Callithrix jacchus: one gene and its partner. The protein of the gene in region 1 interacts with the protein of each later gene in a pairwise test. Links are inferred from orthologs where the notes say so. Each region holds a gene or a part of one and is shown on either strand. Other genes may lie near its edges.

Region 1 (3,562 bases):
ACTGCATGCTGAATTTAATGTTTTAAAATATTTAATGTTTTAAAATATATTTTTTAATTCCCATATATAGATACAACAACCTGTGCAAGTTTCTTAGCATTGCCAAATATATATCCTTAGGGAGGGGCTGCTTTAATAATTTGATAAGGATGAATTCCAATGGCATAGCAATGGTTCATATAAAGTTGGATTTCTCTAAAGCAGTTGAAATAATTTCATTTTGTAAGTAGGTGAAATGCAGCCCTAGCAATCTGGTTTATTGTATTCCCTTGCTAAACTGCCTTCTTTATTAGTGAATGATGGAAAGAAAAGTTCCAAGCCAGACTTGCTGGGAATTTCATCCCTTCCAAATTGGCAAGGCATGAATTAATGATGTTTATCTATAGTTGGAAATGTACTAGAACTTTGAAGAACCCTCTTGGAGCTTAAGGGACCTGACCTGTGAGACTGAATCCCCAGGGAAGTTGCAATGTTGAAGGTGTCCTGGCCTCTCCCTGCCTCCATCCCTGACCCACTTTACCTCTCCTGTGACTTGCAGTTAACGCACCTGTGACGGTTGCTGACAAGAACATCCTGAAGCACACAGGGAATGTTTTCACTCCACACTTTGCTACAGCCTTGACCTCAGCAACCCTGAACCAGCCATTCTGGCTCAACCTGAACTATCCACCTCCACCAGTGTTCCCGAATCCCTCCACCTTCCTGCAGTATCAGGTCAGTGAGCGGGCCTGGCTCTCCTGTGGATATCCATGCTTTTTTTTTGGCCACAGAGGAGGTGTGGCTGGCAGGGGCCTATTTCACAAGGAGCCTCTAGACTCTTCTGAATGCCTTCCCTACATGGAAGAGGCTTCACAGGGGCTATGGTAGGACATTGTCAACTTGTCAGCTTGTCGGTTATTTTTTCACTGTAGTCGCATCAGACCTACCCCTCGGTTTAGGTGCGTGCATGCACACATCTACACACACATATGTATATAGAGTCCTAACTTTCTATTGTCTGAATTCCAGTCTACGCTGTGCCCTTCACTGACAGCCTTGTTTGGCTGGTTGTGGCTGGTTAAGTGCTTGGGCTCCCAGGAGAAGATGATATGGCAGTCCTTGTTTCCCACTTCCTTCCTGTGACTTCCTTTAAGGTTGGATGGCATATATCCTAGATTACTTGGGACATTCCCGATTTTGGTCTTCTGTTCCAAAATAATATTAATGGCATCCCTTTCACTCTCGTGTCCTGGTTTGGATAACAAATTACAGTCGGCCCTGTGTATCCATGGGTTCCACATCCTTAGATTCAACCAGTCTGGGTGGAAAATATTTTAAGAAGGAAATAATAAAAAACAACAATACAACAACAAAACATAATGCGAGTTAAAGATAATACAATGTAATAACTGTTCACATCATATTTACATTATTAGACATTGTTAGTAATCTAGAGATAAAAGGATACAGAAGCATTCGCATAAGCTACATGCAAATACTATGCCATTTTATATCAGGGACTAGAGCATCCTCATGTGCCTTTCTATTTTATTTGAGACAGAGTCTCACTCTGTCACCCAGGCTGGAGTGCAGTGGCACAATCTTGGCTCACTGCCATCTCTGCCTCCAAGGTTCAAGCGATTCTCCTACCTCAGCCTCCTGAGTAGCTGAGATTACAGACATGTGCACTACCATACCTGGATAATTTTTATATTTTTATTAGAGATGGGGTTTCACTATGTTGGCCAGGCTGGTCTCGAACTCCTGGCCTCATATGATCCATCTGGCTCAGCCTCCCAAAGAGCTGGGACTACAGGCGTGAGCCACGGCATCTGTCCCTCAAATGCCATTTTATACCGGAGACTTGAGCACCCTCAGATTTTGGTATCCACAGGGCGGAAGAGGGAGGGTGGCCTTAGAACCAATCTTCTGAGGATACCAAGGGATGAGTGTATATGGCCACCTTACTTAAACTACACCTAAGCAGTCTTAGCTTGTACGAACCAAAGTGACTTGGCACGCATTCTTGTTCTTGGACTCGTAGCTAAAGGAGAAAACTAGTGGCCAGACACAAAAGGATAGTAAAGCACCTCTAGCAGGGCTGGAAATTCTACTCACAGAACTTATTTATGCAGGGAAAATGTAGTTTCTTTATTTTGTCGATTTAACTTAATATCCCTTAAGAGCTACCACCCACTGGGTAGAAGGAGGGAAAAATTAAATAAATGTCCACTCTGGTTTAAGCCTTAGTCTAATCCAATAATTTAAATAGTCCCTTTAGGCAGGACTCAGTTTTTTCAGGAAAGATTCTCTGTGCCTAAGATTTCTGTCTTCTGTTCCCCTCACTGGCCTCTCTCCAGAATTGCATGTCGTTGTATGGGGGAAGGGCAGGAACTCAAACTTGTGCATCCGGGACCATGGCAATTTGCTGCCCCAGCCTGGCCCAGCACAGCCTGAAGTGAGAAAATAGAGAATGAAACACCTCTGACTCGGCCTGTCCTGTTGCTATGTTTTCCCCTCTCTCCACCCCTTGGAACCCTATGTCATTCTTTCCCTTATAACACAGCGCAAGCCTTATGTCCTATGGGGAAGGGGGATTGTCTCTTCTCCCATCAATGATAGACTGGACAAAGAAAATGTGGCACTGGCCGGGCGTGGTGGTTCATGCCTATAATCCAAGCACTTTGGAGGCCAAGGCAGATGGATCACCTGAGGTTGGGAGTTCAAGACCAGCCTGACCAATATGGTGAAACCCCATCTTTAAAAAAAAGAGGAAAACGAAAATGTGGCACATATACACCATGGAATACTACACGGCCATAAAATACAATGAGTTCATGTTCTTTGTAGGGACTTGGATGAATCTGGAAACCATCATTCCAGCAAACTGACACAAGAAAACCAAACACCCCATGTTCTCACTCACAGGCGGGTGTTGAACAATGAGAGCAAGTGGACTCAGGGAGAGGAGCATCACATACTGGGGACAGTTGGGGGGGCTAGGGGAGGGACAGCAGGGGGTGGGAAGGGTGAGTAGGGATAACATGGGGAGAAATGCCGGATATAGTATGTACTTATGCAACAACCCTGCATGACCTGCACATGTACCTCAGAACCTAAAGTAAAATAAAAAAATGAAAAAACAACTCTTCAAGCTGACCCGCCAGACTTAGCTCCTGAATCTTAAAAGAACTTAGCAAAGCCTCTCTGTTTTGTTTTCAAGCTTTTTGCTTGTATGTTTGCTAAAGAGAACAAGTACCTATCCCCTCCCCAGGGAGGGAGAGCTCATGCCTCATTGTGGAGGTGAGAGGTTGTGATGAAAGTGACCTAACAAGGAAGCCAAAATGAACTAGTTTCATTTTAGTAGTCTATTGTCCTTACACAGGTCTTGGAATGTCCTGTTCGGTGAGTCACTAACTCCTTTACCAACATGCTTCTACCCTTGCATTTTTGTTTGGTTATTCACTATTCATTTATTCACCTACTTGCGATTTACTCACTTCTATGTATTTATTTACTCATTCATTTAAGTAATTTTGAAAATCTTTGCTCCCTACACCTGCTAGAAGCTGAGCATTGTGCT
Region 2 (4,149 bases), on another chromosome or scaffold:
CAGGCATGTGCCACCAAACCCAGCTAATTTTGTATTTTTAGTAGAGACAGGGTTTCTCCATGTTGGTCAGGCTGGTCTCGAACTCCCAACCTCAGGTGATCTGCCTGCCTTGGCCTCCCAAAGTGTTGGGATTACAAGCATGAGCCACCGTACCCAGCCTGGCCTGCCTATATTTTAATACTTTATTTTTATTAAACCCTCTGCTGTCCAAAATGGCCATGAAGCCACCAGTTTGCAAACTCTGAACTGTGAAATCTTTTAGCCACTTCCCTGTCTTCTCTATTGGAGCCATCATTAGTACTTAAAAAGTACCTTCGAGTCAGGAAGTTCTGTTCTACGTATGAGAAACACAGCCATGCCCCTCTGGTCCACAGTTTCCTCATATGTAAAATGGGGCCACTCATGTCCACTCCCCAACCCTGTGCCTTGTGGTGAGACTGTTGCTCCCGGGATGACAGTCCCACCCCTCCTTTTAGGAACAGGCCTTTGAGAGCAGCCAGAAGTACAAAGAGGGGAAGTACATCATTGAACTCAACCACATGATCAAAGACAACGGCTGGGACTGACCCCAGCTCCTCGACGCATGTGGTTCCAGACCGGCCTGGCCGCCAGGGAGCGCCACCGGCTTCCCTCTGCCCGAAGGGAGCTCTGGACCCTCAGGGCCCCTGCAGAGGACGAATCCGGCTCCTGTACATATATTTTATTGCATGCACTGTGACCTTGGGGGGAGATCAGAAGGGGGACGACGCCCCCACACCTCCTGCGATCTGGCTGGCTTGGATCTCGTTTTTTACCCCTTCCTGCCCCGCCTGCCCTATAGATATGGCCTGTGTGCTGCTCCCCTGGCCCCAGTGCACCGTCTGCTCTGTGAACTTCTCCTCCCACCAGGCCCCTCTTACCCCACGCGTGTCTGCCCCCCTCGTTCTGTAGCGTTTGTACATAATAAAACAATGGAGTGGAGACAGCCCAGGCTCGCGTGCACTCCGGGAAGGGGGAATTCAAGCGGAGATTTCTGCCCCTATAGACCTGTGCGGTCTGAGCCCCAGCGGGGAATGGGGTAGGTACGGCCGTCCAAGCTGGGGCTCCAGGAACCGGGACGGTCTCACTGTCGGCGAAGGTCCTGAGCCCACACTGGCTGCCTACGCCTTGACCATGTTTGGTCTGCGTCTGCTCGGTTGCAGCTTTTGGCCTCCGCCTAGGGTCAGCGACCCCGGGAGGCAACCGCGTCCCCGACCCAGCAGACCCTCGCGGCCGGACTACAACTTCCAGCGGCCCCCGCGTGGTCCGTCCGGCTCCTTCGGGCGCTGGGCCTGCCGGGAAGTGTGGTTCCGAGGGTTCCTCAGAGCGGGACCTTCTGGGAAACCCTGGCGCGAGGCGTCAGAAGCTATCAGACTGTTTGCGCCTCTGAACTTTTGAGGCTTGGCCCAGGGTGGAGTTTTTTATTTTTTTAGCATGGGGACCAGGGAAGACTCCGGGACTAGGGCCTCGGCTGCGGCCTCCTCGCGGCCCCGAGATCCCTGTGAAATCAGTTCAGGCCGCGTCCCTCCAGCCTGCAGTTTCCTTCTGGTCATGCTGCTTCCCTCCAGGGCCTGTCCTCCAAGTGAGGGAGGACGGAGGGCGGTCACCTGCCAGAAGGTCTGGGGCGCGAAGGTGTGCCTCGGGACTCCAGCCTCCGTCCAGGTTCCAGGCCCCGCCCCCCAGCTTATCCTTAGGCTGGGCTCCCCACCGTGGGAACGGGGACCAGCTGGCCGGAAGCGCCAAACTGCGTCCCTGTCCGAGCCCGGGGGATCAATCAGGCCGAGGAGTTAATTATGTAATGAGGGGGCAGGGGGTCGAGGCTAATGAAGCCGCCCGGGGTGGGGAGGGAGTGGAGGAGGGAACCGTACCCAGGTATCCGGCCCCCTCTCGGACCCCTTCGAGGCCCCAGGGGTCTCCACCCCAGCCCAACTCCAGGGCCCCAAAGAGGGGAGGGGCTGTGATCCTAGGTCTGGAAGGGGCTGAGCTGTGAGCTATAAAGGGGGCATCTCACAGCACCGGGGGCTCTAGGCGGCGGGACCTGAGGCCAGACGGAACTACAACATGTACCATCCACGAGAGTTGTACCCGTCCCTGGGGGCCGGCTACCGCTTGGGGCCCCCCCAACCCGGGGCAGACTCCAGCTTCCCACCTGCCCTAGCTGAGGGCTACCGCTACCCTGGTGAGCGTTGGGACCAGCTCCTGGGTAGGAGAATGGGGGCACTGTGGCCCTCAGCTGGTTCCTCATTTTTCCCCGACTTCCAGACCTGGATACCCCCAAACTGGATTGCTTCCTCTCCGGGATGGAGGCTGCTCCCCGCACCCTGGCCGCTCCCCCACCTCTGCCCCTTCTGCCCCCTGCCATGGGCACAGAGCCGGCCCCATCAGCTCCAGAGGCCCTCCATTCCCTCCCTGGGGTCAGCCTCATCCTGGAGAACCGGGAGCTATGGAAGGAGTTCAGCTCTGTGGGAACAGAAATGATCATCACCAAAGCTGGGAGGTGAGGGGCTAGCCAGGGTCCGTGTTTCTGGTGGGGGGGTCTCTTGGGAAAGGCAGAGTCCCTGGGGAGGGGGATAGGTCTGGGAGGTTCTCTAAGGGGGTAGAGCTCTGCCTAGGCTTAGAATCTATGGCCTGGGGGTAGGGGGTACTCTGTGGTTGGAATCAGGAGTCATTCTGTGACAAGGGTCAAGGGTCAGTCTGTGGAGTCTGTGGCTGAGTTTAGGGACCAATCTATGGCAAGAGTCATAGGTCAGTCTGGGGCAGGGTCAGGAAGTCCCGCTGGCTTATAGGTTAGTGTGTGGCCTAGATCAGCGTTCAGACAAGGACAGGGGGTCAAGGGCCAGCCCAGTGACCAGCATCAGGGAAGTCTGGCGATTTGAGTAGGAGTCAGTATGTCGAGGTTCAGTGTCAGTATGCGCCTTGAATAGGAGTCAGTATATGACTAGGTTCAGGATCACCCTAAAGGCAGGGATGTGGTCAGTGTGTAGCCTGAGTCGAGATCTTCATCTAGGGCAGGAGCTCAAGCCCTAGCACGGGAAATCCTCAGCCTTACTGCAGGCAGCATATTTTTTCTGAAGGAAGTTCATATAAAAGCTGCAGATTCTGGTGTTGGAGTCAGGGGAGGAGAGGAGGGTGGGGACACGAAGCTCCTGGCAACATTTCAGGGAGAAAAGTTAGTCACCCCTGCTTCTGTAAATAGGCTTTGAAGGGTAGGAATCATGGCTGTCCCTAACCTGCCGTGTGACAGATCACCTAACCCATCTGTCCTGTTTCCCCAAATGTAAAATGAGAAAGAAAACCTTCCAGCTCTAAGATTCTGCCCTCTGGGTTCTTTTTTCCTTTATTATTATTACTATTTTTTTGAGACTGTTGCCCAGGCTGGAGTGCAGTGGCGTGATCTCTGCTCACCCCAACCTCCGCTTCCAGGGTTCAAGCGATTCTCCTGCCTTAGCCTCCCAAGTAGCTGGGATTACAGGCGCATGTCACCATGTCCAGCTAATATTTGTATTTTTAGTAGAGAGGGGTTTCACCATATTGGCCAGGCTGGTCTGAAACTTTTGACCTCTTGATCCTCTCACTTTGGCCTCCCAAAGTGCTGGGATTATAGGCATGAACCACCACACCTAGACCTTTTTTCATTTTTTAGAGACAGATCTTGCCTTGTTTCCCAGGCTGGAGTGCAGTGGTGCAATCATGGCTCACTGTAATCTTGACCTCCCAGACTCAAGTGACCCTCCTGCCTCAGTCTCTAGAGGAGCTGGGACTATCAGTGTGCACCACAGTGCCTAATTTTTTAATTTTTTGAGGCCGGGTGCAGTGGCTCACGCCTGTAATCCCAGCACTTTGGGAGGCCGAGGAGGGTGGATTACGAGGTCAAGAGATCGAGATTATCCTGGTCAACATGGTGAAATCCCATCTCTACTAAAAATACAAAAAATTAGCTGGGCACGGTGGCGCGTACCTGTAATCCCAGCTACTCAGGAGGCTGAGGCAGGAGAATTGCCTGAACCCAGGAGGCGGAGGTTGCGTTGAGCCGAGATCGTGCCATTGCACTCCAGCCTGGGTAACAAGAAGGAAACTCCGTCTCAAAAAAAAAAAAAAATTTAGAGATGGGGTCTCACTATGTTGCCCAGG

What was found.
Region 2: the proteins of C7H1orf94 (region 1) and TBX6 interact in binary tests that used the Homo sapiens proteins (3 or more experiments, as listed by UniProt). The link is inferred for Callithrix jacchus from reciprocal best matches to the Homo sapiens genes C1orf94 and TBX6.

The regions. Positions count from the first base shown.
Region 1 is NC_133508.1:70,759,592-70,763,153, forward strand, and holds part of C7H1orf94 (uncharacterized protein C1orf94 homolog), read left to right. Parts: intron 1-538; coding exon 539-714; intron 715-3,562.
Region 2 is NC_133513.1:29,427,772-29,431,920, forward strand, and holds the start of TBX6 (T-box transcription factor TBX6), read left to right. Parts: upstream 1-1,322; 5' UTR 1,323-2,079; coding exon 2,080-2,197; intron 2,198-2,280; coding exon 2,281-2,515; intron 2,516-4,149. UniProt on the Homo sapiens protein: T-box transcription factor that plays an essential role in the determination of the fate of axial stem cells: neural vs mesodermal. Acts in part by down-regulating, a specific enhancer (N1) of SOX2, to inhibit neural development.